4 linked regions of the Lonchura striata genome follow. The protein of the gene in region 2 binds, or shares a complex with, the protein of the main gene of each other region. Links are inferred from orthologs where the notes say so. Each region holds a gene or a part of one and is shown on either strand. Other genes may lie near its edges.

Region 1 (7,962 bases), on a different chromosome or scaffold from region 2:
ATCACTCTGATACTTCAGAAATTTTCTACAGGGAAGAGCACTGTCTATGAAGTGCTAATGTAAACATTTCCCCTGCAATATTGGGTGCTGACCTTGTCTTGTTTCTACTCCCTCCTCCTGGGAAAAAAGCAGTGTCAAGTGCTAACAATTCAGTCTGTTTTGCAAAGGGAACCAATGGCTTAACAAAAAGAAACCACAAGAAGACAAATTTACCCAAACTGCAATTTACCCACTTTGCAATTTTTAATAAATGGATGCAAGTTCATTAGTAAGGAATGTGTAGAATTTCCAATGGCAGATTGCAGAGGTCAATGGCCAAGCCACTGATTGCAGTCACTGACAGCACAAATCATCTCATGCAAGGAAAAACCACAACACAGCTAAGTCGTTCCCTCAGTTTCCTGTATCTGTCACTTGGCAGTGAATAATGAAGTCAAGCAACAGGAACTGATCCACTCTTAAATGTTCCTATGATGACTAAAGTGCAGAGACTTTCTTGAAAACTATACTGACAACCATCTATGTTTCAAATGGCCATTACTAAATGTTTCCAGATATGATGTAGCAACAAAAAAGGAGAATGAAATTAGTGCAGTAGAAATCATCTGCAACTTTAGAGAAAATATTGATCTTATTCACCTGCCATGAAATACTAATCAAGGAACATTTGGCTAATAAAATTCTTTAAACTTTGTCATTTTTATGTGCAGCTGATTATTTTTAATAGCATACTTAAGAGTTTAATTTCACATTTCATTTAGGCAGTAAAATAAATATTTTCCCATCATAATCTGCATTGAGTTCTAATTGTCTTTCACTTTAAGAAGTCTCATTTCTGCCTCACTACCAATAGAACAAAGTCACTCACATTTAGTTCTGCCACATAACAGATGAGAATCAGACTCTTTGAGTCATAACCCAAGTCTTTTCAACACATTTTCAGATCCAAGCAGATTCTCTGTGGTTTCAAATATCTCAAGATCCATGCCAGAGATTAGGAACCAAACCTTGAATGTTCAGCTTATGATAACTAGATTTGAAGCAGACCAGATACACCCTTCTGTTTTTTTACAGATGCTAGAAGTTTTTTCAGAGAGTTTATTTAAACAAACTGAACGTAATAGGCAGAAGGTACTCTTCCATAAAGGAGGGTATACTTTGAGTAAACAACAACAGGCATATAAAGTTGAATTCAGTCTTCCTGAGAGTATGTAGAATTTATTTTTATAAATGAAAATAATGATAAAATTATCTTCAATTTACTGAATAGTTCACTTTCTCTGAGGCAAACCCTAAGTTTCTAGACAGTAGCTAGAGGCAAACAGCATAAAATGGCAAACGCATCAACAGATGAAAGCATGGGCTAAGAGCAGCATTGTATTTTTTAATACAAAGAACAAATGCAAAGGCTGAAAGCAACAGTGTGTCAATCAGTGCAGGAAACAGACAACAATTGCAGCAACAGAACTGGTTTTAGGAAGTTTCATCAGCATAACTCATTTTACCTGTACTGTTTTTACTTGCTGGGACTGCAAGACAGAGGGCTGGGCCGCAGTGTTTATCAGCTGACTTCCCTGCGTCAAAGCTGAGACACCCACAACAGGTTTCACTTCCGACCGACCTCCAATGACAACTTTGATCTGCTGGCCTTGTACCTTGGACTCTCCACCCTGGGCTTGGGACACGGCCTTCTGCGACTGCGGGAGCTGGCTGTGGGGTAGTGCTAAAACAATGGGCTGGCCAGACTTGCCCAAAGTTGTTACAATCAGCTTTTGCCCATCTGGTTTAATACTCTGACTGCCTATTTTAATATCAGTGGCCTTGTTCAGAATAATCTGATTAGCTGAGATAGTGACAGGGGTCTGAGCACCAAGTTTATGGAGGCCACCTGGGAAGGCAGGCTTTACAGCTGCATTCACATCAGGGCTTGGGGCTGTGGTGGTCAGTGCTGTATCTCCTGAGTGGCTGCTGGGCACAGGGACCGATTCCGTGGTGACTGTGGCTGTAGTCGTGGCTGAGGAGTCGCTGGTGGAGTTTATGTTCACTATTTCTTCCAGTTCTGTTTCCATGGGAATAGACTCTCCCATTGGCGAAGACACAATAACAGCCTCAATGCTGTCATCTTCCACCAGAGTTATGCCAGTGTCCATGATTTCCTCAGGGAGCAAGCTGTTCACTTCTGCTGAAACCACCTCCATCTTAGTAGCTGTGGCAGTGATGGCCGGAGCAGGTACTGCAATATTTTAAAAAGTTATTGGCTTCCAGAAAACACATATTTTCAAAGCTTTATGAATAAAATTACCAAAGAAGAAAATACAGTCAATTTTTTTCAGACTGAAAGTATTGTGCATGCACAGGAGGGATATCATGGGAAAAAAAACTGTTAACAAAATATAACCTACTAGGCTGAATTGAGTCTTGGTAATAATTTATATCAAACCTTTACAACATCATTTGCTGAAGTAAAATAAAGGCATTACCACTCCACTCTTTACACCACAGTACACCAAGAAGCAGTGCTTCCCCCCTGAAAATATAGGCACAGACATTTAAACCCACTGAAATATAAAGCAAGAGATAAACAGCTTTTAAAAAATCAAATAGATGATGATGTTTTCTTATACATGCCAACACTGATTAGCAGGTTATCTTACTCAAGAGATTTATTATCCATACCAGATGTAGCATTATCACCAAATTTTCATTTTGGAAATCTCTGATAAAATCAAATGACTATTTAGTGATGGACTTGAACAACCCCAAAAGCTCAATCAACAGCCACCTACCACAGGATCAATCCAAAGCCCTGCCACTCACAAGATGAAGAGATAATCCCTTGATGCCAGCTATGAAAAGAGCTCAGTAATTTTTTTACTTCAATACTCACCAGAAAATTTATAACACACAAATTCATTATTCATTTTAAAGGTGTTCTAAAAACAAAACAAATAACACACTGTATGAAAAAAAAGGGATTTTTTTTTAAGATCACCCAAATTATATATTAAACAAACACCTGCAGCGAGATTCAAAGCCAGAGCCACTTCCACTTGAGAAAACCTAAAGACATTGCTGGAAATGGTGGAACTGTACCATTCCCTTAAGGTTGTATCAGTGTCAAGAGTCTGAAAACAGATCAGCTTAATAAGGCATTTTCTGCACTTGCTGACCCCATGAGCACACTTGGGCCCGGGACGGGTGAGCACACCATGTGGGTCTGCCTACATGCTCCTGAGTACTAATTATAAGCTCAAGGGGACAAAACCCTTGCAAATTCTGTTTCCTACTTGCTAGGAAAAGCAGAGCTGAGTTTTAATACTAATTCATGAGGAACCATGCCAGTGAAGACACCAACCAAATGCCCAAGTGACATTATTTCCTCTGGAGTCATTGTGGGCCCGTTTTGTACAGCAGCTAACTACCAAACAGCTGCATTTCACCCACAAGGTGGAAGGATTGGGGAAAAAAGCCCTGCTAGAATTACACAGTTTCCACACCGAGCTCCAGAGACTATGCTGGAACAGTCCTGGCCTCCCTGATTGCCAAGGGTGCCACTCTGACCCCCCTCACCTCAGAGTGCCAGCCAGACCAAACTGCCCTGACACTCAAGAAGCCTGAGCTCCAAAAGGACTGCACTGACAGTCAAACTCCCAGCTCCCTTATTGGCAGGCATTTAAAGATACAAAGTTATCTGATGTCACTGCCAAAAATACCTCCTATGGAAAGCATTTCTCCCCCAGTAATGCCTGCACAGTGATGCCAGCCCTGGTAAGCAGCCCTAGACAAAACAGCCAGCTCCAAGAGACACATTAGTAGTACTATCATATTGCTGCCTTAAAGTCAAATAGGTTAACTGCATAGATGATTACTCCAAAGTAGACTGTTTTTGAATACAGCATACGTTAAGGTCACTAGGCCTTCTTCTGAGCTGTGTCACTTGACTGTCACCTCAGCTACTTGAAAAGGCTTGCAGCTCAGATAGCAAAACTTCAAACTATTTCAGACACAAAAAAAATAAACCTCAAACCAAAGCATCATCTCGTTCTATACTGATATGCCCATAGGCCTTGGATCCAGAAGTTAGACTCCTAGTGTCAAGCACAATCCATGTAATAATTGCCTCCAAGTTTGAAAAGGAGAGAATAATCTAAATTGGACAGGGGGAAACCCACCTCACTCTGTAATTATAAATAGTTTTAAATAACTTGCTTTGTATTCCGTTTGTACATGTTTTTCCCAAGAAGAAAGGCCATTCTTAGCATCTTTTAACAGTATGATCATAAAATACTTAAATATATCTAAGTAGTTTTATAGTTCATCAGGTATTTGCATTCTTTATCCTTGCCATTTGGTTATGTTACAAAGCAGTAAGTACTTATTAAATACCTATATCTAGTTGAAAGCATGTTTATATTAAAATACATGGAGTCAGGCTTTTAAACAGCATTTTGAGTCCAAACTAACCACTGCAAATCAGAATGCAGAAGAAAAAGAAATATCACATCTACTCTGGAATCAGAAACTGAGAAGTGAAAAAGAAAGAAACATTACTCATAGTTACTGGATTAACAACATATGCCAATCACATAGGAAGATTTGAAGTTATCAGGTAATTTTAAACTTAGCTTTCATTATTGCATTCAGGCTAGTGTGCTCAACAACAGCAAACAAGAACTGTAACACAACCCACTTGGTCCATTTCTTCACTGCAGGTTGGACATGACTGGAATAGATACATGAAAGCCAACCATGAAAATTTCATCCTGGCTACACCAGAGGCTGCTGTCAAAGGCATCTTCAACATCCCTGCAGATTTTTACTTCTTGGTATCTAGCCAGAATTTCTCAACAGTTCAGCTGTTTGTTTTTTACTAATGCTTTTATACAGTTTCCATTTTTCCAGCTCCACTACTAAAGCGATTAGCAACAGTAAAAGCATGCCAACCTCTTAAGAGCCTAACAGCCTTGAGATCGTCAAGAAAGGGTAGCAAATAGTTTTAACTATTTAAACCCTTCAAAGTTTCCTTCACTTAGCACCTATGTTTTGAGTACTGAATAATGCATAAGTGCTAACTACAACCCCTTGAAAAGATTAATCACTTTGTGTTTACTCAAACCTTGAAGGAAAAAAAAACAATCTAGACCAAGGAAGTGTTTAAGCTTAAGCTTCGGACTAGGAAACTCAGCAAATATCCTAGGTTCAGATTACTAAACACAATTTTAGCCTACAAAAACAATGGCCACACAATTAAATAAAAGTTCACAAAAAAAAATCATATAATGAAGATTTGTAAACACAGCTAGCTCAGAACACCCAACCAGCCAAACACATTAAAAAAAAAAAAAAAGTTAGACTAAAGCATATTGTCAGCAAAGTCCTGGACCAACAACTTAGAAAAATGCTAGGCATGGTAACGAGAAGGAGAGGAACAAACTCTCAGCTTGAGCAAACCACCTGTATTCATCTTACTCACAAAACAGATTCCTATTCTTGATATTCAGGAAGAAAAATATATATATGATGGTGTAAAGGATAAAGAGGATTTGTAAGGAAGAGGATAAAGAAGATCAGGATTATAGGCAAAAATACAGAATGGTGTCTGACAGGTATCTGTGAATTTTGATCTTTTCTCTCCATCTAGCATGTCACTGCAAAATCTCTAAGAAACTCCATTAAAAGTATTGAGATCAATCATATCAACACCTTTGTTGATAAATTACCAGAACAACCACACTAAACAGGAAAATAAAATATCAATATAATTAAGCACAGTGATCTACAAAGAAGTAAACAAATGCAAGACATAAAAATATCCTGTATTTTACAATAACTGCATTTTATTACATGAAGAAATGTCTCTATTTCACTAAGAATAGCCAACCTTCCTGCCTGCAACCATGAGCAGTTAGAGTAGGGTGACAGGTTACAAAGCTACCAGTAGGACTATGTATTGCAGGCAAGCAAAACACACATTTATAAATTCAGATTATACAGAAACAAGGCTACTGAGACCAGCTTTACCACTGCTGAGACCACCTGAGAAGGTGATGCATGTTAGCAAGGCCACAGCAACAGAGCAGAGAGCCAAGGCACTCATCATCATTTGTGGCTGCTGGACTGCTGGTGCTCAGCCATGGGAACACTCTGGAATAACCCAACACATCTAGGAACACTGACCAAACCTGCCTCAAATCACTGGCAATGCTCATTTTTTAACCAAATTCCCAAGTGTCACTTTCACCAGAAAATAAGGAAACCAAATCAGTAACAGCTTTTATATGAACACCTCTTGAAGTACAACACAAACCCACACTACCCAAAATCAAAAGCCTCATAAATGCAACACATCTAAGGTACCCCTGAAGCAGCAGGGATTGTCTTGGGACCAGTAAGAAAATGCTAAGCGAAACTAAGTAACATTGCCAGATACAGCAGTATCTGTTAGTAGTTCTTTAAAGCTGGGACAGATACACTTAAAAGTAGCACCCTTAAGAGCCAACGAGAGCAAATATTTTCAACTTCCGAGCTAAAACTATGCAAAAACCTTTAAAAAAGAAGTATAAAGAAGAACAGTGAAGCCTGCCCCCAAAAAAGGGCAGAGTGAAGCTGAAAATCTGAGTCAGATGAATAGCAGAAAAGTAAGAGTGAACAACCTAACAAGTAATTGTTCACTGCAAGTACAGTGGACTCTAATGAAAATGAATATAAAAGAATGCAGGATCAACATTTAGTCAGTACAAAAGGGGCGACATTTGGATTTTCCACAGCTGAGACAAAAATGTGCCAACACCATCTCTTCTCTTTCCAATCAGGGTGCAGCAGAGGACTGCAAGCAGGCTATGGCTCATATTTTTAAACTCAAAAATCCCACATTACATGGTTGCATTCATAAAATTGGCATATTTTAACCTTAACTAGCAAAGGTTTAAAAACACAATATATTTCGTTCCTAAGTCTATTCATTAGAACAAAGTCAAGAGCAGGAGGAAAAAGGGGAAATACAGAATGGATCCTTGAGGATTTAAGTGAGAAGTATGAGATGCTGTCAATTACATTTTAGTTGCTTTTCAAATTTTTCAGCTTCTGCTTATCTGCTCTCTCCTATCCTAGCAACTATGTAAACTCCTGAAGGCTGCTGAGCTGAAGAAATCAAATTTTTTGGGACCTTAATACTTTGAGATTAAGCAATTTGAAATGCCCAGCCCTCAAGTGCCAGTGCCTAGACCTTTCTGCCAAGGTAGGGACAGGTAGCAGACCTGTCTGCAAAAGGTGTACCCAGATGTTGGATCTCCTGCAGCAGGTAGTAGGAAAGAGTTGGATTGCTGGTTCCAAGCACAGGCTGCAGGAGACTCAACAGTTCACAGCCAAAAACTCCCCCACCAGCACACCCAGAAGGGACAGGGGAAATAATGCTGAAGCATGGAGGCTTGCAATGGCAAGGACTGGCAGGAGGAAGAGACTTCTCCCGAAGGCTGAGGTGCCCTTGCCAAACTGCTTCACTGCTCTGCAGACAAAGAGGAAACACCCATCACAGCAGGAAAGATGCTAAGGCAGCCCCATCTACTCCCTTTGCTTGGGGCTTGTGTGCTCAGACCATGGGACTTGCTTCAGAAACCTGGTCTGTGTGGCACTGGGGGATCCATCTGATAGAGAAAGGAAAGAGATCTTTGTCCATAGGCTTGTCTGGATGGTGAGGAGGGTTTTAGACTAAAGTTGTCATAAGAGGGAAACTGAGGGTTGTGATCTGGAGCAGAGTCTGGTTGGAGGCCTGCAGCCAGGAGTGCTCTCCAAGGGGTCAGTACTGGGTCTAGTCCTGCTGAACCTGTTAAATGATCTGAATGAAGGGACAGAGTGCATCCTCAGCAAGTCTGTGGATGATTCAAAGCTGGGAGGCATGGCTAATACATCAAGAGATTGTGCTACAATTCAGTAAGACTTGGACAGAGAGGAACATAATGAAAT
Region 2 (7,524 bases):
GTGACTCAGAAAAAACCACTTTTCTCACTGTGGTAAACATTACTATGTTTTTACTTCCAAAAGCCAGAGGAGAAGCTGGATGCAGAGAAAAGCAGGTCTCCAGGCTGGACAGTTACCCTAATTTCAAACCAAGGTGCTGCCTTTTGATCCTTTCAGTGCAGCTTCTCCAGCAGCAACAGGCCAGCACCCACCAAGCTGTCATGTCTCTGCTTCCCAGCCCAGCAAGTGAACACGGAGACAGAGCCATCAGTTCACACAAAGGATATCGACTGTTCTGCATGTCTTCTGTAACATTTTTGATGCTCTGCTGAACCCACATCTTCTGCTGCTCCAGCTCCTGCTCCCGCTGCTCCAAGTCCTCAATGTCTGCCTTCAGCTCAATCAGTTTGTGAGCTATTTCACGTGTGTTGCAGCCAGGACCCACCCCCCTGGGTAAAACAAAAATGGGTGAGATATATCGGCCTCTGGAGGCACCCAGACCAACATCAATCTCTCTGCCAGCCTCTTATTCCCACCCGTGTCAAACACCAATGCCAGATTGCCTGGAAAGCTGTGTCTGTACCCACTCTAGACCCCCACTTCCCACCATAGCAATGTTTGGTACACCTTTCTACTTCCCACAGTCTCCCCCACCTCCAGTGCCATGACAGGTATCTTTCCTAGACCAAGGCAGTGCAAATATTTAGTTTGTACCAAAATAACACCTTTGCTGTAAGAGAGACACCATACGAACTTCAGCTTTCCTCACTGTGCCATCAGCACAGCACAGCTGGGGGAGGCAAGAGCATGGACCACTCAGGAACCTCCCTCTGCACACAGCATTTTAATCCCACTGTCACTTAAATCTGCATTAGAAGGGACCTGTGAATGATTTAGACCATCTCTACCACTCACTTCCACTGGATACTGTTCTTGGACTTCTTCTCAATCAACCCGATGCCTTCCAGGACATTCGTGATATCGTAGATCCGTCGCTTCTGTCGCACAGCCAAGGTATCTGCAGCCTGAAAAAGGTTAAGATACTTAATTCCAAACTCTCAGTCATGTTTAGCTCCTTCCTGCCTGGCAGATTAACTCCTGGCCAAATACTTTGCTCCCTGTTTCATACCTCTCCCATTCCAGCGTTTCACGTTACACAGCCATCTTCTTGATCTCACATGACCATGAGAAGAAGTCACTCATTCTTCTTTTTTTCTTACCCCATAGCCTCCCCACTAAACCCAAATCAAATTCCAGCACTCCTACTCACAGTGGATACAAAAATCACCATTCTCCAGTAGCAAAGCAGTGCTAGAATATAGTAGTTCAGCAGCCTAAAAATTTAGTGCTCCCTCGGGGTAGAGATGGAGATGGGAAGGGGAATGCTGAGAGCTGTCTGTGCAACACTTCAGTGAAATCAACATTCACAAGGTCTTTTCTAAAGCTGATCTGACACTACTTGATAAAGAATCAATATCTTTTCAAGAGATTCCTCTGTTTGAATGACATGACTCCAGGTGGAGAGTAACCATGAGCATGCCTGGGGCTTCCCTGCCTTGCTCAAATAACCCTTTTCCCTCAGGTTTCAGGACTCAAGGAATGGCACTGTTTCCACTACCACACGGCAACCTGGCACCAGCAAGAGTTAATGTGTGCACAGAAGGACCAACAATGTCAGTGGCAGTGCAGACACAGCAGGTCAGCACAGGAACTATGTCTCTGTCACCTACCAGTGACAGGCCAGGACCTCGGAGATCCTACACCATACAACTACATAAATCACACTGACTAACACGAATTCCCTTAATGGACATTTGAAGAAGAAAAATATTGTCAAATCAAATGAGAAAACAATTTGGCACAGGCATGGAGCCAGGAAACTCCTCCAGTCCATTACTGGGGCTTTCTGGCACTTGTCTGTCTCACACACGTGCCCACATAAGAGATGCTTATATAAACCACAGCAAAGGAACTTCCCCTACAGGAAAGGCCAGAGATTAAATACTATACATTGACAGTGTTACTTCCTCTAGGTGAAGATCTTAAAATGCAGAAGCAAGATGATTTCACACAACACTTCTCCACTGCCTAAAGGCATGGGGACAACCTCTGGCAGGTGACTCTGACCACCCTCCCCATCCTGGTGTGTGCCAGGAGGGTTAAGTGCTGTATGGACAGTTTCTATAGGTATGTGTTTCTGTAGATGTCTGAGGCTTTGGTGCCAGTGATCAAGTACGGGGCAAGAACGCATAAGAGAAGAAGGTGGTCAAACGTTTCTGCAACTGAAGCACACATACACCTCCAATGCATGGTCAAGTCCTGGCGAAAGAAGAGTCGCCGGGACAACCCGACGGGGTGGGGACAAGGGCTGGGAAGGAGGAGCAGGCGGGGGTGTAAGGTCGGCCAATGCAGAGCCCTCTGTGTACGGCCGGCAGCCCTGCCGCAGCCCCAGAACCCCGCTTTCCGCTCGCCTAGAAACAGCATCAGTACGGCTGGAAAAGCCCTCACGGCTCATCGATCCCAGCCCCTAAACCCCACCACTGAACCATGTTCCTAAGCACCGCACCCACAAACCTTTTGAGCGGGGACAGTGCCTCCACCGCTGCCCTGGGCAGCCCATTCCACCAGTGCCTCAGCACTCTTGCCGTGAAGAAATTTTTCCTGGAATCCAAACTAAACCACCTGCTGCACCGGGCGCTGCCATGCCCCCGTTCTCCCCCTGCAGACCTGCTCCAGCCGCCGGATGACCGGTCCCGCCGGAGCATCGCTCTCCCGGCGGCCGCTCCCTCCGAGCCCTCCCCCGGGGCGGCGGAGCCCTCCACCCCCCCGGCTGCCCCCGCACCAGCTTGAGGTCGAGCACGCCGTCCTTGGCCTCCTGCAGCAGCGACACGAACTTGGTGGTCAGCAGCCCCAGGCTCTTCTCGTGCCGGCTGGGCGCGCCCGCAGCCCCGCTGCCACCGCCGGCGGGCTGCGCCCCGCACTCCGCCATCTGCCCGCCGCCGCCGCCGGCTCCGGGGCCGCGCATCCGCTTCCGGGCCGCGGGGCTCCCCGGGAACCTCCGGGGCGGGGACGGCGGCGGGGCGGGGACCGGGGACTCCCCGCCGCCGCCTCCCGGGGCTCCGGAGCCGTTCCGCTCTGCTGCCGGTGTTCCGTCAGCCCCGTCGGTTTGGGGGTCCCCCGGGCAAAGCCAGGGGTGCGTCCATCCCCTCGCCGTTCTGCGGTGCCAAAGTCAAGCCCCACCCTGTGGTAGCGAAGCCAAACCTCAGCCGTGTACTCGGCTCTCACCGCCCGGGTGTCAGGGCCGGTTTGCTGCTCCAGCACACCCAGCGCCGGGGGAATCCTCCAGCCTGTGCCCGGGGAAGGCAGCCTGTGGCAGGGACACATCTGCAGGTCCATCTGCAGCCATGGAGGGTGCATCCCCGCGTTCTCGCCTCCGGGTCAGGCTGGCACAGCACACCCTTCATGGTGATCCACCCTCGAGTGGGCTCGCACTGTGGATGGGCTGGGGTCTGGGACCCCGCTGGCCTCCCCGAGCCAGGGTGGGTGCGAGAGAACAGTGCTGCGGGCACGGACAGGGCTGAGTGTCCGGAGAACAGGGGGTGCCGGTGTGGGTGGACAGGACGAGAGGAAATGGCCTCAAGTTGAGTCAGGAGAGGGCTAGATTGGATATTAGGGGAAATTTCTTCATTAAAGGATGGTCAGGCACTGTAAAATGTTGCCTGGGGCAGTGGTGAAGTCACCATCCCCGGACACGTTAAAAAGCCGTGTGGATGTATCACTTAGGATATGGTTTAGTGGTGGGCTTGGCAGTTACCGGTTGGTACTCGATGATTTTAGAGGGCTTTTCCGATCTAAACGATCCTTTGATTCCGTGACTTGTATTCCCCAGACCTCCGGCTGTCGCCGTGCCTTCCCGTGTCCCCCCTCCCCTCCGCCCCCCGTTCCTGACGTCCTGAGCGCGGCTGCGGGAACACAATGAGGCCCTGAGGAGCGCGGCTGCTCCGGCTGAGGAAACGGCAGCCGGCTTCCTCCGCAGCCCTGCCCTGGCCCCGCAGCTCCGCGCAGCCTGGACACCATGGGCATGTCTGCGGAGGACGAGCGCGCCGCCAGCCCCAGAGGTAACGCGCATGATGCTCCCCGGGAGCCGGCGAGCTGGGCAGGGAAGGGATGCTGCTGCTTTGCAGCACGTTTTGGGGATTCCCCTGCTCTTTGCCTCACCACCCCCTCCACCCTCCTGGATCTTTTCCCTGTGCCGTGGCTGGTGCTTTGTTGTCCTTGCGGGGTGGCAGCCTGGCTGTGCTTCCTGATGGCGATACCTGCGCGGGGGCAGTTCTGCTCACCGCTCATCTTATCCTCAAAGCTGCTGTCCTCCTCCCTAATCCCCTGGTCCCAAGGCTGCCAGCGGCTCCCCAGCAGAGCAGGAGCCTGGCTTGGCACGGGGTGATAGCCCCGCGGAGCTGCAGGGAGTGGCTGGGGATGGGGTGGCGTGGGGGAATGATGAAACCAGGCATGAGGGGACTGGGAATGGTGTGTGATAACTGTGCTGGTTCTCAGACCTCCACTGTGGCCAGGAGCTCTTTGGCATGGCTTTGGACCCTGTGTCAAGGGGGACACAGCTGCATGGGTGCTTTGGGGAGACCAGGAGTCTCCAATCCTCACTTTAGCCTGGCTCTCCTTCCTGCGAGAACTGCTGTGTCCCCATCCCTCCTGCTGACTCACTGCTGGAGTCTCAACCCTGCTGACAGCTGCCCAAGTGGCATCAAACCCCCTCAGACAACCCAGCATTTTGTTTTGGGGAGTAGCCGGGATGTACACTCAGCCTGGGGACAATCTGAGCTGGCAGGCTGAGTCACAGCACCCCAGGACAGCTTTATTTCTTGCTGCCACAGCTGCTATGACAACCCCGGGCCGTGGTGGTGGCATCTTAGGGGGCCCTTGTGGAAGGACCCTCTTGGGGACACGCTGCCCAGCTTCCCACGTCGGTGTGTGCTTGGAAGTCCACTAGCGGCGAGCTTCCTGCCTCTGGCCTCAGGGGCCCTTCCTGCCCCACTTGGTTGTGCTCACTGACCCCTGGCTTCGTCCCCAGACGAGGAGTGGCCGGAAGCGGAGAAGGCTGAGAAGCTGGCGAGAGGAGCTGCTCTGAAATGGGCTTCAGGGGTGTTTTACCGCCCCGAGAAACTGGAGGGGCTCGGGCATTACCGGAGGCGAGAGACGCAGAGGAACAACTCCATCCAGTCCCGGCTGAAGGTGTGTGTTTGCCCATCCCGCGGACACTTGCAGCCACACCCCCTCTTCAGGCAGGGACCCCAGCCAGGTCCCCTCTTGCGCCATCAATTCTCTGTATGTCCTCTTTTGACAAAATCTTTTCCTTTGGCTGGCGTTTGGTGGGTGAAGTGTAATTGTTGGGGAGAGAAGACCCCCTTCACCCTCTGCCTTACCCCCAGGCAGTGTCTGAAGTTTTAAAAGGAGTCTTCTGTGTCTCTGACAATGCGGCAAAATAAAACACCAAGGGGGCTCAGCACATTCCATGTGCAGGACTCAGTGCACCCCATCACTGCCCCGTCCCAGCCCCAAAGGCTGCCCTGCCCCACAGCTGGGAGGAAGCACAGAGCTCCAACCTGTCCCTGCCTGTGCATCTCCACAGGGAAAACTCCATCTCTCCACATTTGTAAGGGTTGTCCCAGTCCCCCTGCACACTTGCCTCCTCACCCACATCCTCTTTTGCATGACCCAAGGAATCAGTCTGAGCACCACAACTTTCTCCTAATAATTTTAGAAATGGTTTCTCCTATCCTGACTCTGGATGAATTGTCTGGGAGGCCTCCGTGAAAGCAACTTTTCCTGGTGATTCTTGGCATCAGGAGCAGGGAGTTAAATGAGTGGATAGGGCACGGAGATGTGCCAGTGCAGGGCTGGAAACGATGGCACTCCATTTGGGAGGAGGGTTTATATGGCCACTGAGGTCCTTCATACCTTGGGGGCACATAGGGACCCTATGACCCACTGCTCTTTTGCAGAAGCAAAGTAATCTTTTAAAACTGAGAGAGGCATCTGCTTGCTGTTTACCATGGGCCTTGTGGGGCTGGGAGAGTGCCTGCAACACATATTGTACAGGGCTGGGACAAGTGGTGTGGAGTCCTCCTGCCTTCTGGAGCTGCTCCACTGCCCTCCATCCTTTTCTGCTCCCCAGTCAACTGTCCAGTCCTACCTGGAGGGGGTAAGTGCAGGGCTGGAGCAGCTGCGGTCGGCGGCCCAGGAGGTGCAGGGCGTGTGCCAGGACCTGGGGGCTGCACGGTGGGCCCTGCTTGACAGCGCAGACAACTTCCAGGGCCTCCAGCAGATGAGGAAGCTGATGGAGGAACATGTGCAGCTGGCCTCGGTGGTCCAGGTGCTGCCCCAGATCTTCTCGGGTAAGGCACTGGCCCAATCCTGGTCAATTTGGGCTGAAAAGCACTGGGGGAAACCTCAGTGCAACCACAGGCTCTGTGCAGGGCTGGTGGTAAAGCAGGTCATTCAGGCTTTGCCAGCTGGGTGAATGGAGATATCCCTGCTTCCCCAGGGCCTGATCCAATGGTGTTCCCAGAGCCCCAGACCTTTCCCCTCACCATCTCCTTGATAACCTGCATCTATGTCCCTGGTGCAAACCCCTTCATCTCCACACTCAGTGCTGGCATCTCTCCTCCCTCTCCCACAGTCCACGAGGTTTTTTCCCATATCCTGCAGCTGCTCCATGGGCAGCATCTCTTGGAGGCCCACGTGGAACTCATGATGGTAGAGCAACTCCGGGATGACATCCTCTCCCAGCTGCACCTCCGCGGGCTCTCCGATGCCCAGGCAACTGTGCTGTCCTACTTCAGTGGCCTGCAGGACCTCAACGAGAGCCTGGCCAAGCAGCTGTGGGACATTGTGGGCAGCAGCCTGCAGCTGGTGCGCGAGGACCCCGTTCTCTTTGTCACTGCTGTGAGGATCATCGAGCGGGAGGAGAAAATAGATGATACTCTGCTCTTGGAGGCCACCTTCCTTCCCCCTGGCCGCCCAAAGGGCTGGAGGCAGAAGTTCTACCAGGTCCTCCAGGACACCATCACAGGAGCCCGTTTCCATGCTCCCCGCATGGATGCTGAGGGGCCAGGGCTGGCCAAGCACCTGGCAGCGCTGCAAAAGGACATCGTGTCTGAGCTGCGTGTGGTGAAGGACCTGATGGTCCAGTGTGTCCCAGCCCACTACAACATCCTCAGCCTCTGCACTGCCACCTACCACCAGGCCCTCACCAGCCACCTCCAGGAGATCCTGCGGGAGGACCTGGACAAACAGGGACTCTTCCTTCTCCTTGAGTGGGCGCTCCGTGTATACCACAGGTCAGCAGCAACCCCGGCACAACCAAGTGGGGGATGTTGTGGAGAGCTGGGTTGTTCACCAGCTCATGGATGGGTTAGGAGAGTGTCTCTAGCTGCCAGGGGATGATGACCAGGAGGGCAGAGGGACAGGTAGGAACTCCTGGAAAACAGGCCTTCCCAGCCCTGCCCCACCTCTGCCCTCCAGCCCAGA
Region 3 (7,991 bases), on a different chromosome or scaffold from region 2:
CTCCAAATGCTTCACACAGTCTTAACAGATATTAGCACTGAAAGTAAAATAAACTCAAAGTAGGTTAAAACAAGCTTAATGATTTGTTATTAAGAATGCATTAGGCTATCCTATGTCTGCAGTCAGAAAGACTCTAAAGGTTTATTACTAAGTTGTAGTACCCACTAAAAGCAAGGTGAAAGACTTGAAACTTTTGGTGCTTCATGTAGCCCAAGAGTAATTACAACCAGGGTCTAAACAGAAAAAAAAATGTGTTGGTATGTATGGGTAGTATTAAAACCAACTCCACAATATTCTTGATATCCTCAAAGCTATATCAACCTGTTAACAGGAGTCCTAAATGAGACAATGAAAGGAGCTCTTTTTTCAAAAAAACACAGAAAGAGTTGGCTGTTTGCAACTGGGATGAAAGTCATCTTTATTACTCAATGACATCACTGCCCACCACAACTGAGTGTAAAAAAAGTAACAGCTACAGAAGCAGAAAGCAGTATGAATACCAAAGTGACAGGAGAATCCTATACACAAATTTCCCTGTGGAGGCAGTGCATGAAATTTGAGAGAAGTACTGCCACAATTATTTTGAGAAATACCTTTAGAATTTGAGTGGGAAATTAAGCAAAGTGACCTGATTTATGTAACACAATGTTAACTCAGGAACAGAAGTCTCTGTGCCACTGGGTAACACCAGACACACATCTTCCCCCATGCAGGTAGGCTGTAAGTTGGAGATGTAAGTTCATTCTCTCATCCTGTTGCAGGAGGTCACTGTAAAACACTTGCCAAATCTGTCAACACACTTTTCCAGCTACCAATGTACAGGCACATGCTTTAGTGGAAAGATTTGGAATGCAGTCAGTCATATCTGTGTACAGCACTTACATTCATCCAGTCCCAGTTGATAAGCCAGGTTCTGCAGGCCACGAACTTTTTCCATCAGATTAGCTGTAGTAAGGCTCCCCAGCTCTTAAAAAGAGAGAAAAAGACGAATTTTAACCCTCTCTATAGTCCTCCAATAGCAGTTCACCTGTTTAGTACTTCACAGAGCACTTTCAAGCCTTAATTCTGTCAGGATCTGTTTCAGTGAACAGCGTACATTCAAAATTCAAGCTGACTCCACTCCTAATTTTAAAGTACGGAGAAAGGCAGCCATGACTCTAGTTCGTGATTTGATCTGCCACCATTGCAAAGAGTAATTTGACCTATACTTTAGAAGTTCCTCTAAGTTCACACTGCAACATGAACAAGCTATATAAAAGTAGCAAGGGAATGGACTTATTTTGCATTAATAACGTGAGTTCAAGCACATTTCTTGGAGTGAGTCAGAGTTAAATTGTCTCACTTTCACTCTGTAGCTGTGACATGTCACTGTGACACGATCACACACCATCATTCAGAATTCATGACAGGAAGAGCACGCTGAAGGATATTGACTGCAAACTAACAGCTGCACCATGAAGAAAGTGTACATGCTAGCTAATCCTGCTGTAACTTGCCTGTACAGCCTCACCGTTGCATTGGAGCTCCTGGATCTGTGAGGGAACACACACACGTAGAGCATCTCTGAACAAGTCAATCAACAAGTCTAAGCTACTCACCAACTGATCAGCTGAGCCCCTCCAAAAAATTAATGCTACTTCTCAAAATGCAGGAGATGCTCACTATACTTATATGGTGATAAAAAGGCTATGGGAGGTGACTGAAATATACACAATGTTACATTGCTTATCTTGAAAAATCAGCCTGCCACTGATATCTGGATAGGCTCTTGGAAATAACTGGTTTAATGAAAATGTCTATCATTAACAAGATGAAGAGACTTATGAGTTGGAGATTCTGCAAATATGATGGCTAGAGATCTCAGGCCATAAGGCCACCACCAAAACATTTAAAGAACAAGTGTTTTAAGCCTCTTAGTAACTACTGAATTCCCATCTGCTTTGGCAACCTTAATTCTTGCCCACAATATTCATACTCACCCTTCAACATATCAATATCATCATTTTCTAATTCAGCCATCCACTTGGGGGGAGAACTTGTAATGGGCTATTTTGAAAAAAATAGAAGTTCATATTCAGAAAAGTCCATTCTTAGAATTATACAATGAAGTACGATCTGTATTGAAAACTAGTTACAACAACAGCAAAAATGCGAGAGTGTGTGCCATAGAAATACCTTTATGTTTAATCTTGCTTTTTCCTGGACACTTTAGAGTTAAAAACGGCATGCCACCATTCACAAGCCAAAAAATCAGTATGAAAAATAGGATTTTCTGACGTTTAAAAGCCTTTACTGCTTTCAAAGTATAATTCTCATACACAGTGAACTACAGAAGGCATAAAAAGAAACACATATATAAAAGATACATTAAAACCAAAAGCTATATTGTAGCATATATTGGACTTATTGCTGAGATACGGTTCATAGAAGATGTAAAGCGCGCAAGAGAACCTGCCGATCTACTATTACACGGAAGGAAGAAACGCGAAAGGGAAAGGCAAAGCAGCGCTCACTCACGCTTTTGAAGGAGGCGGCGAACTCGGCAACCCCGGGCACTGGGGAGAGAAAGCGGAGGTTGGCACGGGGTGAGCGCTCCTGCGGGCGGCACCGCCACCCGCCCCGGCCCGTGCAGCTGCCCCAAGGAGGCCCGGCCCGGCCCGGCCCGTGCAGCTGCCCCAAGGAGGCCCGGCCCGGCTCGGCCCGGCCGGGCTCTCCCCACCCCACCCCGAGCTGTCAGACTCGGGGCCGCGGGCCCGCCGCACTTACGCTGCTCGGGCCACAGGTCCGGGGAGGCGCGGTCCAGCTTCTCGAAGCTCAGCAGCGAGGTCTCCAGGTCGGCGCCTGCAACAGAGAGGGGGTGAGGGCAGTGCGGGCGGGGAGCGGCGCGGGAGCGGCGGTGCCGCCCGGCCCTCCCGCCTCACCGTCCGCCGGAGCCGCCATGGCGCGCGCCTCACGTGACCGCGCCCGCGGCCGAGCCGCGCGGGAGCGGAAAGCAGGCCCCGCCCCCAGCCCCACGCGCCGCGCTCGCGGCCGCCGCAGGGCGGGGCCGGGCCGGGCCGGGCCGGGCCGTGACGCTCGGAGGGCGGCTCGGCCCCCTCCGCCAATCCGCGGCCCGGCACGGGGGGCGGGGGCCGTGGGGGCGCGGCCAGAGCGGCTGCTGGCGGCGATTGGCCGCGCGGGGGCGGGGCCGGGGCGGGGGCGCGGCCGGGGGCCTCGGAGCGGGGACCCTCGGCCGGGATGGCGGCGGCGGCGGCGGCGCGGGGAGCGTGGGGCGGGCGGCGCCGCGTGGCGCTCAGGGTGAGGCGGCCGGCCGGCCCCGGGCGGCTCCGGCGGCTCGGGGGGCGCAGGGGGGTCGAGGCTCACCTGACCCCGGGGCCCCGCGGGGGTCGGTTCCGGGCGGGAGCAGCCGGAGGGGGGTCGGGGGGAGGTGCTGCCTGACCCGCCCTGAGGTGGTCTGTGCTTGCCCCCGTCCAGCTGCCGCGGACAGCCGGTGCCCCCTGGACCACCTCAGTCGCCGCGTCCTTCTCTTCCTCGGTGGTGAGTGCCCGTCCCGCGGAGCGGAGCCGGTGGGCGGGGAGGGAGGCGCGGGAGAGCCCCGGGCGCCGCCGCCCGCCGGACACTGCCCTCGGCTCCGCTCCGCTGAGGCCGTTCCCGCCGGCTCGGCTGGACCCCGGCGGGTCCGGTGGAACAAACATCGGCTCTGCGCCCGCGCTCCACGGGAGGGACGGGAAAAAGTTCCATGTCCGATTTGTCGGACTGCGGAGCTGAGCGGTGGCCGCCCTCACCCCGCGGTACTCCTGGTGGCTCTGGACTGGCCTCATGCATCTATTTGCGACAGAGAGAGGATCTGGTTTCTTTCGGACAGTATCAAACAACTTTGGTTCTTGTACTGCCTTTTTTCCTCTGCTGTCCATGGCTGCACACTCTCTGAACTCCAAACCAGAATTCCACAAGTAGTCTGCTTTACTACCGTCCATGTTCCCACAGCAGGTGCATTCTCTACATAAAAAAAGGTGGCGATGTTATGGGAAAGGTGCAATTAATTTTAATTCACCATTTTCTGGCTTGCTTAAAGTATTTTTTGTTGCGTGTGCAATGTTTGAGATACCCTTTTTAATCAATTTGAAAAAGACATTAACTCCATTGCACTGAAGTCTATGTGGGTCATAAAGCATTGGCGCTTGTGGTTGTACTGCATTAGCCTCGGTGGCACTGAGGCTAATGGAGTGATTGATAGCCATAGGAGTTTGTCATTCTTTAGACCAGCAGCTTTTCTCACAGTCAGGAAACTCGGTCAAGGGACTCGGATATCCTGTGCTTTCTTCCAGGTTCTAGAGGAGATTGTGTTTTTGTAGGCACAGATTTCTGCCTCTCTTCCCCAAGTGTGAGTCCAGCTACATAATCATCTGCAACATTTTAATTTTAATTCTCTTCTAGCATTGCTTTCCAAATCATTAAGTTTTGCTTGTCCATTAACAGACTTATTTTATACTTCTGATCCTAACTTTCTCATCTCAAAGCTTTCTCAGTTTGTCCAACTAACATTGCTGTTAATTTTTTTTCACTTTCATCCACTTTTCACTGTCATCACTTGTCCACCCTGTACCATTTATGTTCCTGATTCTTACTCTGATCTCTGTCTCTTCATTACACTTTGGATATCATCCAAGTTCTCATCTCCCTTTCATAATTCCATATCATAATTTCTTCATTTTCATGATATATTTGGGTTTATATCCTGGTTCTGTTGATCTGTCCCATTTGTGTTATTCATACAGAAGATCCATTTCCCCTTTCTCTTACATGTTCTCCCCAAGTCATGGATTTGTGTCATGATTAACTGGTTCTTGCTTTCTTCTAATTCTCTCCTTACCTCCCAATGTCAACTCCTCTTTTATAGTTTCTTAATTTATACAGTCACAATTTGTTTTCCTGCATGGTATAGTTTTGTTGCCTATCTAATGCTAATTACAGCTTTTACCTCTGCCTTCTGTTCTGTTCTATGTTTGCCTGAACTCCTTATTCCAAACTTTCCTTGTCCCTCCTCTTCATCTGAGTGGGAAAGTTTTGTTTTCTGTGCTGCCAGCCAGGACAGTCCACAGATACAGGTTTCTTACTCTTAGTTGCAAGACCAAGCAGGGGGTGGGGAAAGTCCAATTTTCTGCTTGAAGCTATAAACTGGAAAGATGAACCTGCTTAGTGGCTTGATGGGAAGGAGGCACATGGGACAGTGGTACAGTCTGCACTGGGTTCACAGAATTCCCATGAAGTGAATTATTAACTGTTTCTTCTGAACATTTATGAGTTGCAGTTTTTCAGGTTTTGATTAAATAGATTGAAACAATCCCAAACATAAGCAGAGCAATGTATTTTTTTCTATAACTGCTTTTAGAAAGAATTTTGGCTATTTAGGTGTAAAGAGAGCAAAATGGGGCAGAGAGCAATTATCTGGGTCTTGCTGTGAAGACTGGATACAGACTTTAGTGGTTCACATAGCAGTAAATGATAAAGGCTTGCATGTAATATGGCACATTGGCATTTAGGCATGTTGAGACAAAAATAACTCACTTTTCAGTGTTTTGACCTCCACAGCCAACAACCAAACTCTTCATTGATGGGAAGTTTATTGAGTCCAAAACTACTGAATGGATTGATATCCACAACCCAGTAAGTGAAATGCTCTCACCTTATGTAAATAGTGATCACTGTGAAACAAAGGTCTATGCCTCTTCAGGGATGTGGCAGATGAAAAACATACATTTCTTGAGAAAGGTTTAGACTCAGCAGACTACAGCTTCTCAGTTTCCTTTTCACATGAAATATCAGTTTCAGAATAAGTTACTATCACCCTTACCTCCCTCACATAGTAAGGCCCTGGTCTCCAGAAAGGAAGCTTAAATTTTGGTTATGTATTTTTTTGTATGTCAGATTTCTGAAGGGTGTCTTTCACTCTGTATATGAAATCAACTGGGTGTGATTTGATCCCAGCTGAATGTGAAATCCTGATAGAGGCTGATATTACTCTCAGAGTAAAAAGGTGAAAAATGCTAACAGCTGAAGCTCCTCTCCTTTCAGAGAGTTTCTATCTGTTGACGCACAATAATCACAGAGCTAGATGCTATGCAGTGCAAAATAGATAAGTAGCACTTGTGTTGTCTATGTACTCCACCAAAGACAAATGGAAATGAGGTTGCACTCAGAATTCTGATCCTCTGGCCTTCCTAGTAAGCCTTTAAAACAGCAGTTTCTAAATCTTTTCTGTACAGCTCTATTTTCATTTGCTTTGTGCAAATGATCAGAGCAGCAAGTAATGTTCATGAAGCTCATTTGGTCTATGTAGCAAGCAGTGCTCTTGTTTAATTTTCTTCCTCTTGTTTTGAGTAATTTCTGTCTTACTGATATATCTGAAATTTTTGTCATGTCAAAGCAGATTTAATTCTTAAGATAACATTAGAAGGAGGTTAAACTGGCACCAAGCTTGAAGTTAAAATACAATAGAATTAAGGTTGTATATAAATAGTACTTTGGCCTAGGGGTATAGGTAAGCTAATATCAATGGCAAATGTGCAGTCATGTACTGCTTTTCACAAAGGAATATTGCCTCATTTAATGTGCAAGAGGGACAGCCAGATGAACCAAGACGATGGAGAGGAAAAGACCATAGTCCATGGAAAATTTTTCCTTATACTGTCTAGAAGTTTCAAGATAGCCAAGTCACTTCAACTCCAGCTTGGAAATCAGCACTGCATTTGTAGTTTTCTGAGTGCTTAGCTTGATATATTTGGAATGCAGGTTTTCAGAACTACTCCAGTTGTAGCCCAGGCCTTTTGTGTGCAATCAAGGAAGGCATTTCCTTTGTGCTGTGCCCTCAGAAGTACAACTTGTAGAACAAGAATATTAGGTGTGTGCTGTGAAAGAACTCTTGAATGGTTGGTGGGAACACATAGGAAAAGCTGAGTTTTGATGCAATTTGTTTTCTCTTTCAGGCCACAAATGAGGTGGTTGGCCGTGTACCGAAAGCCACAGCCAGTGAGATGGAGGCAGCTGTGGCTTCTTGCAAAAAGGCTTTTTGGAACTGGTCAGAAACATCTGTTTTGAGTCGCCAGCAAATTTTCCTGCGCTATCAACAGCTCATCAAAGACAATCTGGTGAGATCCCATGGCTGTGTGTGATGTCTATGGCTGAATGCATTGCAGCTGATTTCAGAAACTAAATTGAGAGAGACTTGGGGTTTACAGTGTTCTTGATGAGGTGCTGCCATGATTGAGAAATCAACTGAGACACTGTCGAGAGGTGCAGCAAAGCACTTCTCTCATCAAATGGTAACAGAGGCAGCGCTTCTTAGGGAATATTGCTCTGAATTTGTTCCTTTACGAAGAGACCACAGAAGGAACTTTGAGCCTTGATGGAACATGTGTCAGTTGATGAAGACAAGTATGTTACTATGTTTTTGGATTTTCCTGATGGATTTTTTGGTCTGTATGTGGTGTCATACCTGAAACCATTAGAATACAAACCATCCGATGACGATTTTTTCTAAAATGTCACCTAGGTGGGTTATTGGCTTCTTGTTTATAAGGAGCAAATCAGTCAGTATAGGTTTTTCTGGGTTGTGTTCAGTCTATTCATTGTGATGTTCAACTCTATGTTAATTCTGTCTTTTTCATGGGCAGGCACTTTTCTAACATTCATAAACTTTGTGTTTTCCATTTTCAGAAAGAAATTTCCAAACTCATCACCTTTGAGCAAGGAAAGACCCTGGCTGATGCTGAGGGAGATGTTTTCCGAGGCCTCCGTAAGCTGCTGGCTCCTCCTGTTAAAAAAGGGGGTTTGAGAACCCACAGGAAGGGATGAGGTCTCCTGAGCAACTGATTGCTCTGTATATGTTGATCCCTTTATAGCCCTCTACTCAAAGAAAAGTATCAATTGTAGCTCTAAGCTGAAGAGTTTTCTTAGATAATTTTTAAATCACTTCCAAGTTGTTAGAGCTT
Region 4 (7,769 bases), on a different chromosome or scaffold from region 2:
ACTGCCTCAGATCTTTGCAGAAGAGTCATAGTCTACAAATCAAATAATGGGGGAAAAGAGAATTAATTTCATTCTAATACTGGATGTTACAAAACATACATGAAGAATCAATCCAGGAAGCTGTTAGAAAATTCTCACTCTCTACCACGTGTGCACCTTTTACAATATTTCCTTGCATATCCCTGGTTTCTCAGATCCCAGCACAGGCATTTGTGCCCTCAGCTCCACCATGGTATGTGGCACTATTACTACACCAAGACACTGGGATTGTTTTTCACCTAATACCTAAAGTTTTGTGACAAACCGATTCCAGTGGTTTCTTAGCTTTATGCACAAAAGAATATGCAGATGTATTTCCTTGCAGCAGAACAGACAGCTGATTTTCCCTATTTTAAGATTCACTGTTGGTTCATTAAGAGTCATGTATGGTGAATCTAACTGAAAAGATAGTGGAGAAAGTCTTATACCATTACACTCAAGAAATGAAAAAGCAAACAATTTAAGAAATTATCCCTTATTAGAGACAGCCCTAAGAACATTATTTTAAGGTAGCACACCATAAGAAATGCAATTCTAAGAACTGAATTAGACTGGCTATAACTAGAACTCATTCTGTTCCACATTAGGATGCAGAAATTCAAATATTTCTCTCTACATAGGATGGGCTGCTTCCCCCCCATACCATGCAAGTCACTACTCTATATTGCATTTAGAGAGTCACATTCAGCTTTCAAAGGCACAGTGACAAGGTCTGCACATCTAAACCAAGTAACATCATACACCCTTGAAGAGGATGTAATGCTGGAATTTTGGTCCCTGTTTCTTCACTAAACCTGTAACAATTTTAGCCAAAGCTACTGAAAGATCCTCACTGGGAGGGTGCTCACAACTACTCAGGAAGTGTGTCCAGATGCACCAGAGGTCTCTACAGTGCTGTCCAACATGGACAAGAGTAGACAGAGGTAAGGAATTCTCTTGTGTTACTGACATCTCCTGCAGAACAGCACTGCTGCTGCCCAGCTGGGCTGCTTGGCCTGTGCGTTTTACACGGGAGAGCTGCTGCCAAGATGCTGTTCTGAAAACTGTACCTTCCCACTTTGTAAAGGCCACCAGTCAGAACCCTCTGCAGCAATCAAAGCATTCCTTTTACTGGTGTGTTTTCCATAAAATTAATTCTATTAAGATAGTACAAGTCAAATGGTTTCTTTTTGCTTTGCTGCAGTACTGATTTTTGTTCAAAGAGGAAGTGGTTAAAAGCCAAACAATTTGACAGTAATATAAGATCACTCTTAAATTTACCCATGAGGCAATCTTATTAATATTTAATAATTTTCTTTTTTTTCCCCCTAGGATAGAAGTAAATAATTTGACCTGTTACTCTGTCCTCTTCTAAAGGCACTAGACTCACTTCACAGTAAGAAACTTTTCAAAAGAAAACTTGACTTTTTTTTCCTTTTGACCACCTCTCCCACCAAGACTTTTCTATAACACAAATTTCTTCTTAGTCCTCCATGGTTTTTTCAAAGTGCTATATTTAACACCCTACACGTTAGTTTGAACAGAAGTTCCTGAAATTCAATACTTCACAGAGTAAAAAACACCAGTGAGTACACACAGCATTGGCATACATATGGGCTGTGAAACACAGTTCTGCATTTGCCCTGTAACATTGGTCCTCTCAGTCTTTGCCACACTTATAAAGATCCCTTTTTGTGTATTTTTTGTGTATGTATAATCAAAAGAACTGAAGTTAATTTGGGAAGGGTAAAGGAATAGAGAAAATGGAATTTATTTCTTTTTTAACAGCATCCATTTTTACCAGCATGTTATTTTTGAATCAAAGATTGTACCAAGTTGCAATTTGTTACAGCACCACACAACCTCCAACATTTTACTATCTTTTGTCAACATAATTAAGCTACATCAGTGATAGTAGTTGAAAAAAAAGTCACTGTGAGCCATATTAATGAAGAGTCAAAAAAATAATTGAACTGCTTTCAGAATTATGAAAACCGACCAAGAAATAATTTGTAAAAAATGTTTACCCAGCATACTACAGTATATCAATTAAAACTATTCATTTTCTCTGTCAAATCAAGAATTTACAGAGAAATTACAGAGAAAATGAAACCCAAAGTTTCATTTCATTTCAACCCTTTCTTCAGAGGAGAAACCTTTACTCAGTGAGAGAGAACGCTCTCATTTGCGGTTTTCTTCCACATTTCAAGGAAGTTTGCTTATTCCGTATTTTCCTCCTATTGTTTGTATTCTCAGCTCCAACAGACGGTGTTTACACTGGGTTCACCTCTGCCGCTGAGCCCTGTACCGCTGGAAGCCCGGGCAGGCCTGTAACTCCCAGGAAGAGGCAGGCAGGGAAGTTTTGTTGTTGTTGTGCCGGACTGACCCTCTCCCGGTAGGACCCGCGGGTGAGAACCGCCCCGACAAGAAGTCCGGGCGGCACGGAGCAGGGCCGGGAGCTCGGCCGGAGCCTCGCCGCTCCGGGCCGGGCCGCCGCTCGCCCCGCAGCCCGCACAGCCCCGCGCGGCCCGGCCCCGCCGCGCTCCCCACAATGGAGGAGGCGCCCCGGCTGTCACCGCCGCCCGGGCCCGCCCGCAGGTGTCGGGCCCCGGCTCCCACGCTGCCGGGGCGCCCGCCCGGCCTGAGGCACCGGGGGGACGCGGCGGGGGAGACCGCGCTGCCCGGGGCACCGGGGAGGGGGCGGCAGGGCCGGCGGGACCGCGCTGCCCGGGGCACGGGGGGCGGCGGCCGCTGATGGCTGAGGAAAGGGGCTGTCCTTCCCCCCACAGCCCCCCACACCCGCCCCCGCCCCCCGCTCACCCGCAGGACCGGCCAGGGACGAAAGGTAAGGCGGGCGGCAGCGCGGGCTGGGCCCAGACAGCAACGCTGAGGCGACGAGACGGCGACGGTCCCTTGGCAGCCGCCGCGGCAAGGAGCGATCGAGTCGCGCCGACGACGCCTCTCGGCCGGGCCGGCGCCGCGCACTCGCCGCTGGCGAGGAGGCCCCGGAGCCGGGACCCTCGGCGGCCCCGGTGCGTGGCGGCGGCAGCGCCCGCAGCGCCCCCGGCCCGGCCCGGCCCCGCCGCCCCCCCGCGCCCGCCCCGCGCCCAGCGCTGCCCGGTCCTGCTCCCCCGCACAAGCTTGGCGGCGTCTGCCGGCCGGGAGCGCCCATTGGCCGCCGCGCCGCGTGACGTCAGGCGCCCTCCCCGCGTCATTGGCCCGAACCCGTGTGTGTACACACACCGCCCGCCAATCCGCGGGAGCGGGGCCGGGGGGGCGGGGCGGAAGGGCGTGGCCGGCCGGGACCGACCGGGACCCGCGGCCGCCGCCTCTCCCCCGCGGCGCGCGCCGGCCGCTGTCAGGGCGCGGGTTCGATCCCCGCGACGGCTCCGGGCGGCCGCACCTGTCCCAGCGGCGCCCAGGTGCTGCGGGCGGTACGGAGCGTATAAATACACAAACCCATACATATTTATAGGCCTGTATTTACACACAGCGCGCGGCGCCGCGCTGGCTGCGGCCGCCGGCCGTGCCGCTTATCTGCGAGGAGCCGGTGGGGCTGCGTCCCGGGATGCAAAGTTCAGCCCCGCCGCGGGCGCCGCAGGAACGTCCGGCCTCGGCGCGGAGCCGGCGGCACACGGAGGCCAGGGCCGGTGCACCGTGCCCAGCCCCGCGCTCCCCCTGCGAACAAAGGCTCCCGGGCCCACAAAGCGCCGGCGGGGCCCGGAGCAGCGACCGCGCCCTCGCACCTCCGCCCTGCGAGACCCGGGACCCGCTCCCGCAAAAACCCGGACCCAGCTCGGCGCCTTGGAAAAGCCTTAAGTGCTTGATTTCAACATCCTTAACGCTGTAAAAAAACTGTTTCAACGAAGCAGGGTTACATATTCTTACAGAGACCATATAAATAGAAAGCACTCCTGGGAGCAAAAAAAATAAATTCGGCACTAGTTCCATTCAGCACAACGATGCAACATTTGTTAAGTCTTTCTCGAGTGCAGCCAGGCACACATCCAAGGCGTGCAGTTACCCATTTTGCATATTTCTCTAACACAAACGCAGCTTAATGCCACTGAGCAAGCTGAGCAGAACAAGGTTTATGGGGACACAAACACTATTATGTGCTTTAGATTCCTGCAAAACATACATGGTAAGCTTCTGTTTTTCTTGCATTACAAACATTAAATACTCTAGAAAGACATATTTTTGATCCTGTACCCTTCACTAAAAAGGGAAGTAACACCAAAAAACCAAGTGTTCAGCCTATAAAGTGGAGTTCCTAAATATCAGTCTAAGGAATATTAGCAATATTAGCAAACAAGACCTTTATATTTATTTCAATGGGGCAGTTTACAACCGAAAATCTTGCATGTGCCTAGGAATTTGCAGATTGTGGTTTTAGTTTATTTTCATCCTGTAAAAAACACTTCCATAACATGTAACAAAAACTTTTATCAATATTGTCAGTGTTATGCAAGATACATTCACAAAAGCAATAGAATTGGAGTCCCCTCTAACAGGTACGACCACAACCACTAATATGACACACGCCCTGACAGAAGTGCAGAAGGCACACGCTACCTTCAAAAGGAAGCAAACTAGAAGCAACCAGGTTGGCTAGTTTACTGCACTATTATTAGTTACCACAGCTAAAGAAATACTTGAACCCAGCCTTAATAAAGACACTTTGGCTTCATAGATCTCTTTTTGGTTCGTTGGTTTATTTACTTTTTTTGCAAGAAACACTGATGAGCTGAAGTGAGATACTGGAACTGAGTATCAACATGAAAAATAGCCATTTTAACCCCCAAGGAGAGAGTCTATATACACACATCTAGACATATATGTATACACAAAGACACTATTAAGTTTGAAGGTGGTGAAACAATGACCAACTTGCTTGAGTGTAAGTATGCTACTTATGTAACATTCTAAAACAATACACAGTCCTTCAGAACTTTAACAAATCCCAAATTTTACCCCAGAATGAAGGCTGCACTGAAAAAAGAAAAACCCTTAGAATAGGGTTTTTGAGACATGCTAAGGTGGGTTGAGCAGCTACACCTGCCCTGCAGGAAGCTCTCGTGTGTCCCTCCATCACCCATCGGTGTCCCAGCCTCAGAACACCACCTTGCTCCCCCTGGCCAGTCAGATCAAGTCAGATCCCTCCTAGATGCCACCTCTTTCCCCTTTCATAATACATCACTTCTCAGTATCTGCTAGTTTTACTGCTTTCCTGCCAGTCCACAGCCCTTGCTGTGATAACCTGCATGAACATTAACCCAAAACAGCTTCCCCCTCACCACCACCCCTTTTCTCCTCCTCAACCTGCCCTGACTCCCCATAAAGCCTTAAACTAACACACTCCCAACTTCTGGGGCAGAGCACTGCCATATTCCCAACTCACCTGCAGGACTGTCACACCTCTTTGTTTCCAGAGGGGCTCACTTCTTTGCACTCTTTAGCTCAGAAAATAACACAATCCCATTGACTAGCAGGAAAGGGTTCTTCCCTCTTTCTCTTCAACTGGTGAGCCTTTTGTGCTGTGCCCTGATCCTGGAAATAGTGGGACTAGTTGAAGGACCTTGCTACAGAGATTATGCCAGTAGAAGGTAGCAAGCTTTCAGCAACTCGGTATTTTGCTTTTTTTACTTTCTCCTGACAGGAAAGCAAGTCTAAACACTCTTGTTAAAAACAAATGAGAGCAACTAAATTAATTTTACATAAAATTAGCTGTTAGAGTAGAGCAGAAAATACTGCTTAAAAGAAGACTACTCAAAACTTGGTTATTACAGTAAGTTTTTTAACACATCTGACTTGATCTTTTTTTTAGCTATGTAACCAAATTAATACAGCTGCTCAATATTTTCAACTATCTGAAGACTTTCATCTGCCCTTTCTCTTGATATACAACAATAGTAGCAAGATTCCTCCAACAATAGAGGGATTATTATGAGGCATCATTTTTCATGCCATAGTCCCCACATATTTACTAGGACTATATGTTATGAATTGTACAACTGCCAAACTGATATGACATTATCTACTATCAGCACGGTGGGATCTGTGAAGGCAGAATGCCCAGAGATCATTAACACATCTCAACTGTATTGCCAATCTTCACATGCCAATGAGCTGCACTGCTGTCCAATCCCAAGTACAACATTAAATTTCAACTGAGTATCTTAAAATTACAGAACTGCAACCTAGTTAATATCTGTAATTTTGTATTGTTACCTTTACTATCAAACTCAGTTGATAAAAAATGTAAAATTGCATATACTTTCCAAGAGAAAAAGACAAAAAAGAGACAAAAAAATTAAATACAAGCAAAAAGCAGCAAAAGCTGTCATATTTTAAATAAAAGTTAGTATGAGTGAGGTTCCAAAATGGTTTTAATGCCCTTCTGTGCAGCAAAAATTGAGATGCACAGCACCTGTAAAAATGTATCTAAAGCTAATTTCAAATCAATTATCAGGTACCACTTTCAGATAACATCACATTAAGGATTTCCTGGGAAGATAAAATCAAATTTTCTTGTAAAACATAAGCAAAAGAGGTGTTGATCAGTAATCAAATTTCTTCAAAATGTCAGTTTGTCTGCTCAGTCTTTGGGCAACTTCATGTCACAAGCTGTGGCACATGCTCTGATCTCCAAAGGTTGGTCCATCCTGGGAGATTTTCAGGCACCCTTCTGTTTCAGAGCCTTATTCCCTACTTTGAACCTCTCCACAAGAGAACTCGCAACTCTGCAGGCCATTTGAAAGGTTCCGCTGGTAAATACACTAAGGCCTTTTCTCATCCTTACTTGTAGTGAAGTTTCTCTGCCATAGATTTGAGGCTAGTGAAAGGAAATCAGCTAAAATTCCAGCTTCAAATAAACAGTGACAATGGTAAAATGGTTATCCAGAGTGTGTCCTCTAGGATACCACTTGGGGCAAGAGGACTATATAATGTCTTGGCTATCTTTTCTGTCTCTAGCTGTACCATTGCTAGGGTGAAAACTACCACCACTACAGGTGGAGTATCAGGCAGATGGTGCAGAGTTGCAGAGTGATTTGAACAGAATCAGGTTCAACTCCTGTTAGAGCTCTGGGAGCACTGCAACACTGCCTGCTCAGCCCAGCAAAACCTCCAGGCTATCAAGAGAACCTAAGTTAAGGAGCCTTCAACAAAAGGGCAATAGGGGGACATTATACCCAGGCAGATGTTGATGGAACTAAACCCCCTCAGTGAGAACAAAATGCAGAATAACAGTGACTGAGGCACAAACTTCTGCCCAGAATACCAGAGTTAAAGTCCTTCCGCTTGGCCTTGGAGAAAGAACCTTCTTGCTAATGAGCATTTTCTTTAGCAGTGACTTTGTGATGACAGAAGAAAATCCCAAGCTGAATACAGGTGTTAAAGCAAAGTAGTTGTTTCACATATCCTGTAACTGCAGAATCTTACCTTACAGCAGAAGGAGGAATGGAGGGAATCTTTTTGAAGGACTTACTATTATTGGAGTCTTGGCACTACAGCCTGGCATATTACTAGAAATCAGCAGACACACTTCCTTCTGTGCTTCATTTAAGGACTCACATTAAAGAAGGTTAAGGAGAATTGGAAAGATACCCGGAGAAAAGAAAATTGCCAAGATGTAGCAAAGGTTGAAGGGCAGAATATAACAGAAGAACAAGGAAAATGGCAGGTTAAGCTAAGGCTGACAAGTAAATGAGATGGAGGCTGAACACAGCTAGAGGAGATGCTCCAACTCA

The links.
Region 1: E2F4 (region 2) and LIN54 share a complex: the UniProt entries of both Homo sapiens proteins name them as parts of the DREAM complex. The link is inferred for Lonchura striata from reciprocal best matches to the Homo sapiens genes E2F4 and LIN54.
Region 3: E2F4 (region 2) and LIN52 share a complex: the UniProt entries of both Homo sapiens proteins name them as parts of the DREAM complex. The link is inferred for Lonchura striata from reciprocal best matches to the Homo sapiens genes E2F4 and LIN52.
Region 4: E2F4 (region 2) and TFDP2 share a complex: the UniProt entries of both Homo sapiens proteins name them as parts of the DRTF1/E2F transcription factor complex. The link is inferred for Lonchura striata from reciprocal best matches to the Homo sapiens genes E2F4 and TFDP2.

What each region holds. Positions count from the first base shown.
Region 1 is NC_134606.1:60,954,831-60,962,792, forward strand, and holds the start of LIN54 (protein lin-54 homolog), read right to left. Parts: upstream 3,007-7,962; 5' UTR 2,922-3,006; coding exon 2,888-2,921; intron 2,234-2,887; coding exon 1,506-2,233; intron 1-1,505. UniProt on the Homo sapiens protein: Component of the DREAM complex, a multiprotein complex that can both act as a transcription activator or repressor depending on the context. In G0 phase, the complex binds to more than 800 promoters and is required for repression of E2F target genes.
Region 2 is NC_134615.1:16,854,962-16,862,485, forward strand, and holds the start of E2F4 (transcription factor E2F4), read right to left. Parts: upstream 3,005-7,524; coding exon 2,822-3,004; intron 1,005-2,821; coding exon 895-1,004; intron 429-894; coding exon 265-428; intron 1-264. Other genes in the region: EXOC3L1 (exocyst complex component 3-like protein), read left to right, coding at 4,055-4,097, 5,066-5,226, 6,170-6,389, 6,674-7,334, 7,519-7,524. UniProt on the Homo sapiens protein: Transcription activator that binds DNA cooperatively with DP proteins through the E2 recognition site, 5'-TTTC[CG]CGC-3' found in the promoter region of a number of genes whose products are involved in cell cycle regulation or in DNA replication.
Region 3 is NC_134608.1:23,653,956-23,661,946, forward strand, and holds the start of LIN52 (protein lin-52 homolog), read right to left. Parts: upstream 3,016-7,991; 5' UTR 2,941-3,015; coding exon 2,922-2,940; intron 2,842-2,921; coding exon 2,767-2,841; intron 2,556-2,766; coding exon 2,518-2,555; intron 2,047-2,517; coding exon 1,980-2,046; intron 967-1,979; coding exon 883-966; intron 1-882. Other genes in the region: ALDH6A1 (methylmalonate-semialdehyde/malonate-semialdehyde dehydrogenase [acylating], mitochondrial), read left to right, coding at 3,238-3,297, 3,475-3,537, 5,593-5,667, 6,987-7,148, 7,717-7,795.
Region 4 is NC_134612.1:12,733,917-12,741,685, forward strand, and holds the start of TFDP2 (transcription factor Dp-2), read right to left. Parts: upstream 3,015-7,769; 5' UTR 2,839-3,014; intron 1-2,838. UniProt on the Homo sapiens protein: Can stimulate E2F-dependent transcription.